Mytilus edulis: one gene and its partner. Each later gene encodes a partner of the first gene's protein in a complex. Links are inferred from orthologs where the notes say so. Each region holds a gene or a part of one and is shown on either strand. Other genes may lie near its edges. The genes, in order: WD repeat-containing and planar cell polarity effector protein fritz homolog and protein inturned-like.

Region 1 (7,119 bases):
AAAAAACAATAAGAAACATATATGTTTAATCTATAAAATGAAATCAAACAGACCTATAACAATCTAATTGCGCGTGTTGGTTTAATCTATTCATATCTTTATTATGTTTACATCGCTTATATGGTAATTTGAGGTCAAGTCGATAGTTAATTAGATGGCGTGTGGACTAAAATTCACACGAAACGAACCTACATATTCTCTACCCCATGCTCTGTAAACTGTTTCTTTTGGACTTTTGGTAGTTTGGATAAATTTTTTACATTGTTATAAATCAAATATGAGAATTTGAGACAAATCTGTGACCATGAATTTGACAGCTAGTGCCCCTTTAAGAAAGAATTTAAACAGGACTGTTTTCTTGGCCGTGCCATAATGAAATAACCAACCCAACCGCAGGTAGGGCACTTTCGCCTACTTCGTGGGAAAGTGAGGTAATGTTTTTTTGGAACTTATCAAAGCAATTGTTTATAAAATCCACAACTACCATGTCACATTGTTTTACTTGAACTGCTAAAAACCTATGATATTTTTTCACCAAACGCAGTACCCCGAATTTATAGAACTTATAAATAAACCGTAGGTCAGTTTATTAGTAATCACGTTGATTCTGTTAAACTTACTGTTTTATATACTTCTTTGAATGTTAAAACAGATGCATTGAGCTGAGGACAACCCATGCTTTGCAAATTTTAGGCGGGGCGCACGCCCCCGCCTAAAGCCGCCCCTGATTAACGAACTATAAACTGATTAAATATAAAATTTAGATATGAATAGCATTAGCAGAGACATATAATACAATTGTATTATACAAATACAAATACAAATACAAATATTTTATTGGCACAAACACAATTACAATAATTGGCAATGGCCCATACAACTGGTATACAAATAGTAATAATGCATAGAATAGCAATAGGCATATTTAGAACAATATCATCGAACGATATCAATATCATCAACAGTAAATGATTAAAAAAAAAATATATCAATTACATAGTTGGTCAAACATATTAAGTATTGAAAATAATGACAATATTAATATGTAATATTATGAACAATGATTATTAGCAATTTTATAGAGTTTGTTCTGCTTTACGCAGGTTCAAACTGTCTGAGATGAAAGAGGAAGTTAATTTTAGGATTGTGTATGAATTATTATTTAATAAAAAGATTATATTATTTTCATGTTTTTGAAATTTTGTAGGATCAACGATTATATTTGAAACTTTATGGTAAAATATGTCCCTCTTAGTTGAGTATTTTTCACAATGTAAAAGAAAATGTTTTTCATTTTCAATTTGACCAGAATTACATACAGAGCAGTATCTCTCATTTCTGGGAATATTTAGATGTCTCCCTCTTTCAATCATCAGTGTATGAGCGCTTATACGGATCTTACATATTGCAGCTCTGTCACTTCTGTTTTTTAATATATCAACATAGGGTGGTCTTCTGCCCATTATGTAGACACTTTTGAAAAAGTCAAACTTTTTGGATTCAAATATATTTGCATTTTGAACTTGCAAACATTGGTCATTAATTCTTTGTTTAATAGAATTTAAATTACCTTTAACATAATTAAAGTTATTGATGATATAAGACATTCCAAGTTCATTCAAAAGACTCTTGACCTTTATGACCCAAGGGTTTGAATTACAGATTTAGTGAATATATCATATGCCAAAGAATTTTCCGAAGAAACTATATGGTTCAGGTAGTTAAATATTGAATATAATATTTTATTTTTCAAGGGAATTCTATTAAGTTCAGCTCGACATCCATCATTAGATGCCTTACAGTGAACCCCTAATATGTCTTTGATAAATTTAACATGAAGTTTTTCAAATGGATCAGAGTCTTTAAAATGTGAATCCACCCCCCAAATTTCACTACAATATGTAAGAATGGGAGTAACTAAACAATCAAACAATTTTTCAAGAAGTCTACATGGGTTGTTGAGACCTATAGTTTTCTTTATTTTATAGTATGCCTTCCTGGCTTTTTCCATTAGAGTATTCACAGCAAGGCAAAAATTGCCATTATACTTTAAAACAATACCCAAGTAACAATAATTTGTTACTGTTTCAAGATATGCATTATCATAAGTAAAATGGTTTAACAATGTCTTGCCATTAGAATTAAATATCATAATTTTTGATTTATCAGTATTAACTTGTAGTTTCCATGTTGAACAATATTCATGTAAAATATCAAGAGATTTTTGTAGACCCTCTTTGCTTTCAGATAGTAAAACAATATCATCTGCATATAAAAGAATGTTCAAAGAGGTATCCCCAATAGCAACTGGATCCGTATGTTTGTCATCAAGATTACCTACTAGATCATTTATAAAATAGTTAAAAAGAAGTGGACTCAATACGTCACCTTGTTTAACACCCCTTTCTGATAGGAATGGAGGACTCAACCTATTAGAGAATTTTATTCTACTTACTGTATCAGTATACATTGAATAAATAACATTAAAATTTTTTTGGGGGATATTATGTTTTATGAGTTTAGAAAATAAACCTAGTCGCCATACAGTATCAAATGCCTTTTTTAAGTCTATGAAGGCAGCAAAAACTTTTTTCTTTTTTTGTCTATATTGATCAGTTATGGTCTTAAGAGTGAATATGTGGTCAGCTGTACGACTTTTCTCTTTAAAACCTATTTGATTTTTACTTATTAAATTTTTGATATCCATAAATTTTACTAAACGTTTATATAAAACTTTATTAAAAAGTTTACCTAGGTTGGAACTAATAGATATACCTCTATAGTTCCCTGGATCAAATTTGTCCCCTTTCTTATGCAAGAGAACAAGTAAGCTCTCATTCCATATTCTCGGAAATTGACCAGATTCGAATATGCTATTAAAGAGTTTATGAAGTGGTTTTATTAAGATGGGGATTGCATTTTTCAACATTTCATTTGAAATCATGTCGGCTGATGTGCTTTTGCCATTTTTAATTAAACGAATAGCTGTTACTATCTCTTCAATTGTTATCTCTGAACTCAAGTGAGTTAAGTCATCTGTAACATGTGATAAATTAAACTTTTCTTTTAGAGAGTCAAAATCTTTAATAATTTTAGAGTGAAAACTATTGTGATTTATGTCACAGTTATTCAATTTTTTATAAAACTGGATGAAATCTTCTTGTGGTAAAGATTCATTTTCTTTGTTATTACTTTTTTGATACTTAATTTATTCAAGATGTTCCAAAACATCTTTGGGTCTTTCTCACATGTATAAAGTTCTGAAAATATATCTTTTTTGTATTTATTTTCTTCATATTTACATAGACGTCTAAGTCTAGATCTGAAAGAATAAAATTTATGTCTGTATTCAGAATTATAGGGATGTTTATTAACTAACTTTGCATAATTTTTTACTGTAACGCCAAGTTCACGGCAAGATTCAGAGTACCAAGGTCGTCTTTTTGACCTATTTTGATTTTTATTTCTGACTGGGACTTTCTTTACTAGTTTTGCAGACTTCAAAGCATTTTCATATAGTATATTATTAAATGAATTTACTGCTGATTCAGAGTCTTTAAAAGTTGATTTTATATGTCTCTGGCATTAGTGATAACAAAATTTGAAAAATAAAAATTATTTTCCTTTTCCCGCTCATTCAATTTTGTTTTTAATCTATTTATAAAGAAAAATAATTAAATCCGATACTGTTATAGTAGTCTCAGTGATTAGGTGGTGATATATTATAAGTTATCTACGTTCATATCCGTAGATTTGCAGATGGTTCACTTTTGGAGTATTTTATGCTTAAAAACATTCTGGCAGAAATACTGATATTTTCCAAAATAAGGAAAGCCCTCTACACCCCTGAATATAAGTCCGACAAACGCTATGACTATGTGGAATGAATGACAACAAATCGGACCAATATGTTACAAACAATATAATATGTCTGTAACATTCCGATCGGTCCCGGTTTAAGTTAACTATGTTTTAGCATAATCTCAAGGTTATCTCCCTTGTAGCAAAGGAAAACAAAGTTGAAAGAATTTGAAAGAATGCAAAATTACATTTAGGTTCGACTTATGGTATAATTTTTAAAAATTAAGACAGTCGGATATAAACGGATACAGGACTTATATTTATGCTGTTCATGAACCTATGAAAAATTCATTGACTTTTTTGGATAACATTTTGTCTTTTGATTGGTGAGTCTCAGACCACAGGGGCTTGTTACAATTGCCGGGTTTACTATCCATACGAACCCCTAAAACACAGATTCGACTCTCAAATTCCTCCAAAAAAATCTGGAAGTTATAAAACTCAACGAGGGATAAATGCAAATTTAATTAGCCACATTATTTTTTCCTATGAGAACGATCAAATCCACAATTTTAGTTTTGACACTTCACATTATTGAATGTTGATATATTATTTTTATGGCCCCGCAAAGAAGTTGTCAGTGCCATATAGTTTTACCCTTGACCGTAATTCTGAAATTACGTAATTCTGTCATTACACAACAAACCATTATATACAGAGTTTTTTTCTAAACGCCTTCAGATATTGGGCTGAATTTCGATATGTAAGTTAACCATGATGAGGTACAGATCAAGTTTAAGTTTCGTTCCACTCCACTAATTTTTCAAAAAAAATTACGGGCTTTGGACTTTGATAAGTTGGTGAAAATCACAGTTATACAGAGTTTTTTTTCTAAACGCCTTCAGATATTGAGCTGATTTTTGATACAGAACTGAACAGAACAGAACATATTTTATTTCCAATTTAGGGCCCACAAGGGGCATACAGAGCATACATGAATAAGGAAAAAGAATATTGATTTGCATAGATACATAGATACAAACAATTTTTTACATACAGTTACAATACAATTACTAACTCATATTTATTAATTATCACATGGTGATATGTGAGTTAACCATGATGAGTTACAGATCAAGTGTAAGTTTTGTTCCGCTCTGCTAATTTTTCAAAAAAAATTACAGGCTTTGGACTTTGAAAAAATGTTGAAAATCACAGTTATAGAGACTTTTTTTCTTAATGCTTTCAGATATTGGGATGATTTTTGGCATGTAAGTTAACCAAGATGAGTTACAGATCAAGTTCAAGTTTTGTTTTGCTCGGCTAATTTTTGCCGAAACTACAGGCTATGGACTTTGATAAATTGTTGAAAATCACGGTTATACAAACTTTTTTTCTACATGTTCTAAATGCTTTCAGATATTTGGTACGTGAGTTATCCATGATGAGTTACAGATCAAGTTAAAGTTTCATTCCGCTATGCTAATTTTTGCTGTAAAATTTGTGGCTTTGGACTTTTATATATATTTGAAAATCACAGTTATACAGACCTTTTTAGCGGGACAAGTGAGCTTATGCCATCACTTGGTGTCCGTCGTCGTCCGTCGTCTGTCGTCGTCTGTCGTTGTAAACTATTTCAAGAATCTTCTCCTCTGAAACTACTGGGCCAAATACTTTCAAACTTTAACTGAATGTTCCTTAGGGTATCTTATTTATAAATTGTATCCGAAGTTTTGATCTATCAACAAACATGGTCGCCATTGCTAAAAATAGAACATAGGGGTCAAATGCAGTTTTTGGCTTATAACTCAAAAACCAAAGCATTTAGAGCAAATCTGACAGGGGTAATATTGTTTATCAGGTCAAGATCTATCTGCCCTGAAATTTTCAGATGAATCAGACAACCCGTTGTTGGGTTGCTGCCCCTGAATTGGTAATTTTAAGGAAATTTTGCTGTTTTTGGTTATTATCTTGAATATTATTATAGATAGAGATAAACTGTAAATAGGAATAATGTTCAGCAAAGTAAGATTTACAAATAAGTCAACATGACGGAAATGGTCAGTTGACCCCTTTAGGAGTTATTGCCCTTTATAGTCAATTTTTAACCATTTTTCGTAAATCTTAGTAATCTTTTACAAAAATCTTCTCCTCTGAAACTACTGGGCCAAATACTTCCAAACTTTAACTGAATGTTCCTTAGGGTATCTAGTTTGTAAATTGTATCCGAAGTTGTGATCTATCAACAAACATGGTCGCCATGGCTAAAAATAGAACATAGGGGTCAAATGCAGTTTTTGGCTTATAACTCAAAAACCAAAGCATTTAGAGCAAATCTGACATGGGGTAATATTGTTTATCAGGTCAAGATCTATCTGCCCTGAAATTTTCAGATGAATCAGACAACCTGTTGTTGGGTTACTGCCCCTGAATTGGTAATTTTAAAGAAATTTTGCTGTTTTTGGTTATTATCTTGAATATTATTATAGATAGAGATAAACTGTAACAGCAATAATGTTCAGCAAAGTAAGATTTACAAATAAGTCAACATGACGGAAATGGTCAGTTGACCCCTTTAGGAGTTATTGCCCTTTATAGTCAATTTTTAACCATTTTTGTAAATCTTAGTAATCTTTTACAAAAATCTTCTCCTCTGAAACTACTGGGCCAAATACTTCCAAACTTTAACTGAATGTTCCTTAGGTTATCTAGTTTGTAAATTGTATCCGAAGTTATGATCTATCAACAAACATAGTCGCCATTGCTAAAAATAGAACATAGGGGTCAAATGCAGTTTTTGGCTTATAACTCAAAAACCAAAGCATTTAGAGCAAATCTGACGTGGGTAAAATTGTTTATCAGGTCAAGATCTATCTGCCCTGAAATTTTCAGATGAATCAGACAACCTGTTGTTGGGTTGCTGCCCCTGAATTGATAATTTTAAGGAAATTTTGCTGTTTTTGTTTATTATCTTGAATATAATTATAGATAGAAATAAACTGTAAACAGCAATAATGTTCAGCAAAGTAAGATCTTCAATTAAGTCAATTTGACGGAAATTGTCAATTGACCCCTTAAGGAGTTATTGCCCTTTAAAGACTTTTTTTCACAATTTGTTCATCATGTTGACTTACTTTAAAAAATCTTCTCCTTTGAAACTGCTGTATCAATTTCAGCCAAACTAAGGCTAAATGAGTTTCAGAGTATCTAGTATAAATTTTATATTTTATTTCCTTGTATGTCAAGAAACATAGCTCCTATGGCTAAAATAGAACATAGGAGAAAATGATTATTTTTTTTGGCTTTTGAAGAAAATAG
Region 2 (7,932 bases), on another chromosome or scaffold:
TAAAATGGCTAAATCCGCCCCTGATGTCATAACATTTTGAGTTGTATATTTCAATGCTCCAGATTGGGCAGAAGGGAGGATAAGTGGGAGAATAGTCGAATTTTGTCTTTATACATGTCCCATGCCCATGGCACTGATACACTTTCAACAAAATGCATATTGCAGCAAAAAAACTTCTAACTGGTTTTCATTCTTTCAAGATTTTAGGTAAAACACCATATAGAATATGATTTCCTGCAAATTTGTATCTGATTACACCAGACGGGTCAAAAAAGGATCTGAACATTTTTATATATATCTAACTGTTAAAGAGTACCTTATGGTGTGTAGTGACATTAATATAAACAGTTACATCCGCTGATAATTGATACTGTGACAGTTTCTATGTATCTATCATTTCCACCACACACAGGTTCATTATCTGCACATGGTTTAATAAATTATTAACATCTATTTTATCAGCAATCAAAGACGGGCTTCAAAGTTATTGTGAAACTGCCTATTCTAGAGGTGGCCTGAATCAGATGTGGATACTTAAAAATTCAAAAGATCTTTTAGAGTACATACAATCTAACTCTCTTTCATCTTGTAACAGTATTAAAACATTTGACTTTTCTACCCTGTACACAAGTATTCCACATTCCAAACTAAAAGACAAATTGAAAGAGTTGATATTACTTTGCTTCATAAAAAAGAATGGCCAACGTAGATACAAGTATCTTGTCTTAGGGAGGGATAAATCCTACTTTGTAAAGAATCACTCTGATTCAAACAAAAAATTCTCTGAAACTGATATTATCAAGATGCTTGATTTCTTGATTGACAACATATTTTTTACGTTCGGAGGACGTGTTTTTCAACAGACTGTCGGCATTCCAATGGGAACAAACTGTGCCCCTCTACTCGCCGACTTGTTTCTTTATTATTATGAGGCTGACTTCATGCAGGAACTTCTTAGGAAGAAAGATAAGAAGTTAGCAATATCCTTTAACTCTACTTTCCGTTATATAGATGATGTTCTTTCACTAAACAATTCAAAATTTAGTGACTATGTGGAACGCATCTATCCAATCGAACTAGAGATAAAGGATACTACAGATACAGTTAAGTCGGCTTCATATCTTGACTTACATCTAGAAATTGACAATGAGGGTCGGTTGAAAACAAAACTTTACGACAAAAGAGATGATTTCAGCTTTCCAATTGTGAACTTTCCATTTCTAAATAGCAACATTCCAGCAGCACCTGCATACGGGGTATATATCTCCCAATTGATACGATATTCCCGTGCTTGCATTTCCTATCATGATTTTCTTGATAGAGGTTTGCTGCTCACAAGGAAGCTATTAAACCAAGAGTTCCAAATGGTGAAGTTGAAATCATCCCTTCGTAAATTTTACGGACGCCATCACGAGTTGGTTGACCGTTATGGAATAACCGTTTCACAAATGATATCGGATATGTTCCTTACGTCGTAACTACAATCCCCTTCCCTTTCATGAATATGACCTACCGAATTAGACTATTTACCGGATTTGTAATCACTTAAGCAACACGACGGGTGCCACATGTGGAGCAGGATCTGCTTACCCTTCCGGAGCACCTGAGATCACCCCTAGTTTTTTGTGGGGTTCGTGTTGTTTATTCTTTAGTTTTCTATGTTGTGTCGTGTGTACTATTGTTTTTCTGTTTGTCTTTTTTATTTTTAGCCATGGCGTTGTCAGTTTGTTTTAGATTTATGAGTTTGACTGTCCCTTTGGTATCTTTCGTCCCTCTTTTAATAAGGCTTTTATTAGGATTATAATCATTCTGTAACTGTAGTTCGATCGTTTGAGTTGTATAATAAATATTAGTATTTACTTGGATTCTACTTTATATATATGTAGCATAAGATGCCACATGGTGATTAGCTGGACAATGCTGATACAATGTTTTGACTATGAGGATATTCTTGCATTTTCCAGTACATGTATTTTGTTTATTCCCAATGTTAATACAAAGCTAGTATAAATCAAATTAGAAGCCTATGAACAGTAGAAGGATCGATTTGGGTCATACCACCACTAACATAATTATACATAGAGGCCTTCAAAAACATGGGGTTAATAAATCCCTTATTTCCCCCTATGCAACAAATTTTCTTCTTTTCTTCAAATTTGTATATGAGGCATATAGGATTACTCAAATATTTGTATATTTTCTTATTGCTGAAAAGAATGATGATAAAACATGTATTGTTACTCATATGAATAAACCTTATTGCTAATCCTGGCTGACCGAGAATCTGTTACGCTTGAACTATTGACGTCATACATGTACATGTACAACAGTCACTTTTCCATTGTGGCGTCATATATTTAGTATGACATGCATGACGTCAAAATTTTACCGGAACCTGTGTGATGTCCAGTAATGGGGGACAAATAGCGTCTGCCGCGATAAGGTCTATTCTGAATGCATGTAATGAGTTACATTTGTACCTATACTGGTTGGTCGATACATTCATGAACAAATAGGTTAGGTAGTCCAAATATTTAAAACATCTTGAAAGGCTATTTTATGTTTTGCTTTGACAAGTCGACGTCAATACAGCTTATCGCTATTTGTCCGCCATTACTGGATATCACACAGGTTCCAGTAAAATTTTGACGTCATAAAACAAAATATCTGACGCCACAATGGAAAAGGGATTGTTGTATGCGTCAAAAGTTCAAGCAGCCGGGTGAGCTGGCCGATAAGGCTAATAGCAATAAGGTGTATGTAAAGGCCTCAAAGCAAAACTAAAATAGCCTTTCAGTTTCAAGAGTGATAATTATTTGGACTAGTCTTCACATGCTTCAGGAAGACACGAGTACATGACCTAGAACCTGCCAGATAATCTATGATTTAAAATGTATTTATTCATAAAAATCATTTTTTCTTTAACATTGTTTACACTTACGACGATTTAACGACTGAAAATTCATTGTTGTGAAGTTGTGTCCGATCTCGATTTCTAGCTTCAATTTTCCCAACGTGAAATGCGTTTCCTTGGTTTGGACTTTCAGTTTTCCCTGGATTAGAATTTACCCTATTGTCATTTTTAGGATTATAAAAGGGTGTTTTATTGTGATAATGTGCCATGTTATTATATTTTTGTGTTTTCAACTTCAAAATTTAGGTTGACAAAATTTTTGTCCTCCATTTTGTTTACATCCGGGGCTTTGAAGTTAAGGTTAAATAATTTAACTCAAACACAAAAGACTTCCCATTAGGGTCCCATAAGGGAAATCCTCATCCCATTTAAACTAACAAACACAACTTCTACACATCTTACACAATTCGTTTTATAATCTATTGTACTTTTATTTTTATATATAGTTGACATATACACACATATAACTGACTTGCAACTGATATTAGACAAATCTCTTGTTCAAAAGAGGGTCTTGATTGGGAACTCATTTAGGCAAATACAAACATCCAAAGACAGTTATAAATATTCATTTTATCCACGAACTGTTATAAATTGGAATCATCTGCCACAACAAATAGTATCATGCAGTACAGTACAGTACAGGGATTCAAGAGTATGATCTCAGAATCTGCTCTCATCCCCATATTCTATCCCTAACTATTGAATTCTGTTAATCAAATGTATATAGTTTTATCACAATTCATTTTTTTCAAATGTAAATACGTTATGTTGATTTTTTGATTTTATGATTTTGTTATTTTTGATTTTTGTTGCTAAAGTGTAAATTATAAATTTTATAGTCGACGCCCGGCGAATAATCTTCAATAATTGAAGGATCGCTAGAAACCTAAAGAAGAAGAAGAAGAATTCATTTCTGCATTCTTATTTTTCTCTCTAAAAAGTAAAAATCACAAAAATACAAAACTTCGAGGACCGAAAATTCAAAAAGAAAAGTCTGTAATCAAATGGCAAAATTAAAAACTATGTGATAAAAACGATTAAAAAAACCCCAACATAGATGATACATGCACTGGGCTTAAAATTTTCAAAGCATGATTGAGTTTAATTAATGTTTGAACTGCAAGCCAGCCTTAATCAGACTCCGTCCAGTTCGTTGAACATTGAGTACCCGATATAGAGCTTAACTAAACTTTCCTTAGCCATAACATCACCTTAACTAATACATCACCCTAAGACAAGACCTAATCTTGATTAATAACCCTAATGCAGTGGCGGATCCAGGGGGGGGGGGGTTCCGGGGGTGCTCACCCCCCTTTATTTTTGCCGATCAATGCATTTGTATCGGGACATATGTTTTGCACCCCCTTGCACCCCCCCTTTGCCCTGGGTTAGCACCCCCCCCCCCCCCTTTCGAAAATTCCTGCATCCACCCCTGCTAATGTGACTCTAACCCTAAATGACAGAACCATATCGATCCATCATCGGAAGAAGGCTACAGCTAGGGTCCCTAAAATTTACTGGCAAATGAAGAACATTTTAAGGATTGCAGTGATTCTAATATTATGTTCTTCAATCCTAGATGTGATATCAGATGTTACCTGCTGGTGTTACCTAATATGATAGTATAACGCAATGTTAGAGAAATTATGATTTTTAAAAGAAGTTTGTAACGAGGTTTGTATTGACGAACCAGTTGGTCGACAAAACCTTTTCTATTTCTTGATTAGTTGAAGAACATTGCTTGAATAATTCGGATAGGCCATGTTAACTTCAATTGGTATTTTAAAGTGTGTCTTTGTGTTCTCTTACTTACATTATTTTTGATAAATCAGTATTAAATTTTACACAAAACCTTAAAGAGATGACTTAAATTCTTGGGTGGGCGTAATTAAAAAAAAAAAATACGTTGCTATTTTTTTTATAACTACCATTTTTTTTATAAAAGTGGCTGGCATTTTTCAACACAATCAACTGATAAAAAAAGTAATCATAATTGCACCTGTACGTCCTAAGTCAGGAACCTGATATTCAGTCGTTGTCGTTTGTTGGTGTGGTTCATAAATGTTTCTCGTTTTTTATTTTACAAATTTTGACTTGGAAAGAGAGCTGTATCATTGGCACTCATACCACATCTTTTTTTTTATATTATTCTATTGTGTGCAACGATTAATGATTCTTTTCAAGACACATGGTACCTTAATTTGATAACTATTTACACCACTGGGTCGATGCCACTGCTGGTGGACGTTTAACAACTATATGGTGATTTTATAAATTTCCTGATAAAAAAACTTTTTTCTTTTTACTAAGGATTTTCTTATCCCAGGAATAGATTACCTTAGCCGTATTTGGCACAACTCTTTTGGAATTTTGGGTCCTCAATGCTCTTCCACTTTGTACTTGTTTGGCTTTATTACTATTTTGTTCTGTCGAGTGTCACTGATGAGTCTTATGTAGACTAAACGCGCGTCTGGCGTATTAAATCATAATCCTGGTACATTTGATAACTATATATAGCAGTGCACATTTTTTTATCTGCAAGAACAACCCTTTCTGCATTGTACTTCACATATTTTAAATATGAAAGATGAACATTCCAACGATGTTGGATATTTGATTTATCCCCCTTTATCCAGGTCAATACCGAAAATCTACACGCATATAATTTGTGGCAATATAGCCACAGCACTTGTGTCAGATTTTTTTATTAAGGTATATAGGAAATATCTTTTTTCTGAGACAAGTGCCAGTGAATATAGTCTGTTACATCTTACCATTTAGAATGACGAAAATAGCAATACAAGACAACATAGACGACAATAATGATTCTGAATTAATGCTGAGGCTTTAAGTTTATTTTGAATTAACCATTAAAACCAACATTTTTTTTCTTCTACAATTCGTGAATATTTGTGCCCAAACAAGTGTCACTTCTGCAATAGAAGAAATATTAATTAAAACTCGGTTTCACAAATCTGCATCCGCATCTATTAAAATTTATTTTGTAAACATAACTTTTTTCTTGTTTTGAAGCGTACTACCGGGATCGTCAAACTCAACATAACATTAAAACAATTTGATCTAGAATAGATGGTGTGTTTATTTAATACAGTAAAATTACAAAAAAAAAAAGACTCTTTAAGCTTATATCTTCTGACTCTTTTTATTTGTTGAACAATATCACAAGTGTTTTCATTCTTTTAAAATCACAATTTAATCTCTTAAACAGGTCCAATCACAATGACAGGCGGTAGGTTAATATTTTATAAAGAAGATGAAGAAGGTTAAGAATAAAAGCAGATTATTTTTAACTACCGCTGACGTAAGTACTTGATACTAAGAATGCCACTCGAAGTCATACTTTATTTTATTTAGCTTTGACTTAGTCTTGTTTGTTATAATTTCAACAATATCGCATGAAATTTAGCATTGAACTAGATGTTTTATTTGTTTAATTTCTTGATTGAAAACAATAGTCCAAAGTTAACTATTTCACAGAACAAAATACAAATAACTTTCGTATCTTCTCTAAGTGAAGATATAATATTGACTTATGCTACATCAAATACAACACAATAATGTTATTTGTTGTTCAAAATACTCTTTACTTTCAATGAGTATTTGAAAAAAAAATCGTACAATAAGGTGTGAATCAAGAAGCGAGAAGTCAAAATTAATATACAAATAACAAATAATTTATTGCATTTGGGGTAAAGGAGTATGTATCTTTACATATCATATCTGTAGAGTGACCGTGAAACTTTAATATTTTTTTCTAAACATTTTCAATATTATAAAGAATTGTAGTATCATCTTACGCATACTGTAAAAGCAGAGACAAGAGAAGTGATGCAAACACCACCAAAAAAAGAACAAAAAATAAAAGAAAATTAAGAAACAATAGAGAAGACAGAACCGCGAACAAATGAAAATAGAAACAGATTAATGTTGAACATAAACAAAAACGTTGCCGATTAAAAAATATTTTGCTAGTGCTTTTTTGTTTTTGTTTTGGAAGTTCAAAAGGTCAATGGTAATACTCATGACAATGCTAATGAAAACGAACAATATATTCAAACCAAACACTGTAAATCAACTGATAATCTTTGTTTTAACGACCATATTTTAGTATCAACAAGACTTCACCTTAAAATCACAGTCAATACCGAAGTAGATGAATGATAAGTAAACCAAATGTTCGACCAATGTAGCCAAATAATGGTGACCAAATCATATGACCAAATGTAACCGTTTATCATTTTCAAGGCAGCCATGATCAACGTAATTCAATTAGTTTATTGAATAAATGCACATTTTTACCCAAATGGGATTGGAGACATACATAAATCAACATAATAATTTTACAATACCTGTACGAAAGAATACTTCTTATTCCATCAAAATCCTCCAAATTATCCCGTCTCCGACATTTTGACATAGGAGTTTTTAATCCGAACATACTTTTTCTGAATGGACTGTTATTGGGTGCCATTTAGTCAATTACGTTTTTGTAAATTCAAATCTGTCATCAATTCTTTTGTTAACTGCCTTTTACTTTAAAGTTCCAAAATACTATCTGTAAAAACAAATAAAGTTGTGTGAATAGTAATATTGAACATGTAAGAGTTAAAACCCAATAAAGGTTTTGTTATAGGGTGGAAAATATGTCGTAGTCAGTCGAAAGTGATCTGTCTTTTCAATGACAGAATGTCACGCAATTCGAAACGAACAAAACGTTGGTCTGTACAAATCAATTCCTTTTCTGAAGATCGAGAAATCTTTATATATATGTATTTACACAATAAACAAAAAGTATTGATACTTTGTAAATGATATTTATCTAATTTGTTTTTATCAACTTTTACAATAATATGCAATAACATATACACTATTTAGAATTCGATATCAGTTATCCGTAAAACTATGTTTTAGTCAAATTCCCTTAAAATATATTTAAATATTCACTTTATAAGCGAAATATTGCGTATGGTGTCGTGTTATATTTTACTATTTGA

What was found.
Region 2: the proteins of WD repeat-containing and planar cell polarity effector protein fritz homolog (region 1) and protein inturned-like are in contact, whole or in part, in a cryo-EM structure (PDB 7Q3E), measured with the Mus musculus proteins. The link is inferred for Mytilus edulis from reciprocal best matches to the Homo sapiens genes WDPCP and INTU. Residues at the interface, in NP_663400.2 of Mus musculus: Phe3, Cys4, Leu5, Ile24, Leu51, Ser54, Arg55, Asp56, Lys93, Leu385, Ala386, Glu387, Asp388, Tyr389, Ile427, Lys446, Leu447, Gly448, Ile449, Leu450, Thr451, Arg452, Gly453, Leu455, Leu462, Gln463, Ile465, His466, Tyr467, Gln487; in NP_780724.3 of Mus musculus: Val481, Gln484, Val488, Asp491, Ser495, Asp496, Glu498, Ala499, Ala500, Asp501, Ser506, Glu507, Asp508, Arg513, Arg514, Thr517, Ser532, His533, Leu534, Pro535, His574, Tyr593, Glu610, Gly613, Cys614, Ala615, Ser616, Lys617, Ser653, Pro654.

Annotation. Positions count from the first base shown.
Region 1 is NC_092346.1:82,336,235-82,343,353, forward strand, and holds the start of WD repeat-containing and planar cell polarity effector protein fritz homolog, read left to right. Parts: upstream 1-3,968; 5' UTR 3,969-4,067; exon of another isoform or gene 4,068-4,187; intron 4,188-7,119. UniProt on the Homo sapiens protein: Probable effector of the planar cell polarity signaling pathway which regulates the septin cytoskeleton in both ciliogenesis and collective cell movements.
Region 2 is NC_092351.1:28,384,653-28,392,584, forward strand, and holds the start of protein inturned-like, read right to left. Parts: upstream 3,212-7,932; 5' UTR 3,124-3,211; coding exon 2,942-3,123; intron 1-2,941. UniProt on the Homo sapiens protein: Plays a key role in ciliogenesis and embryonic development.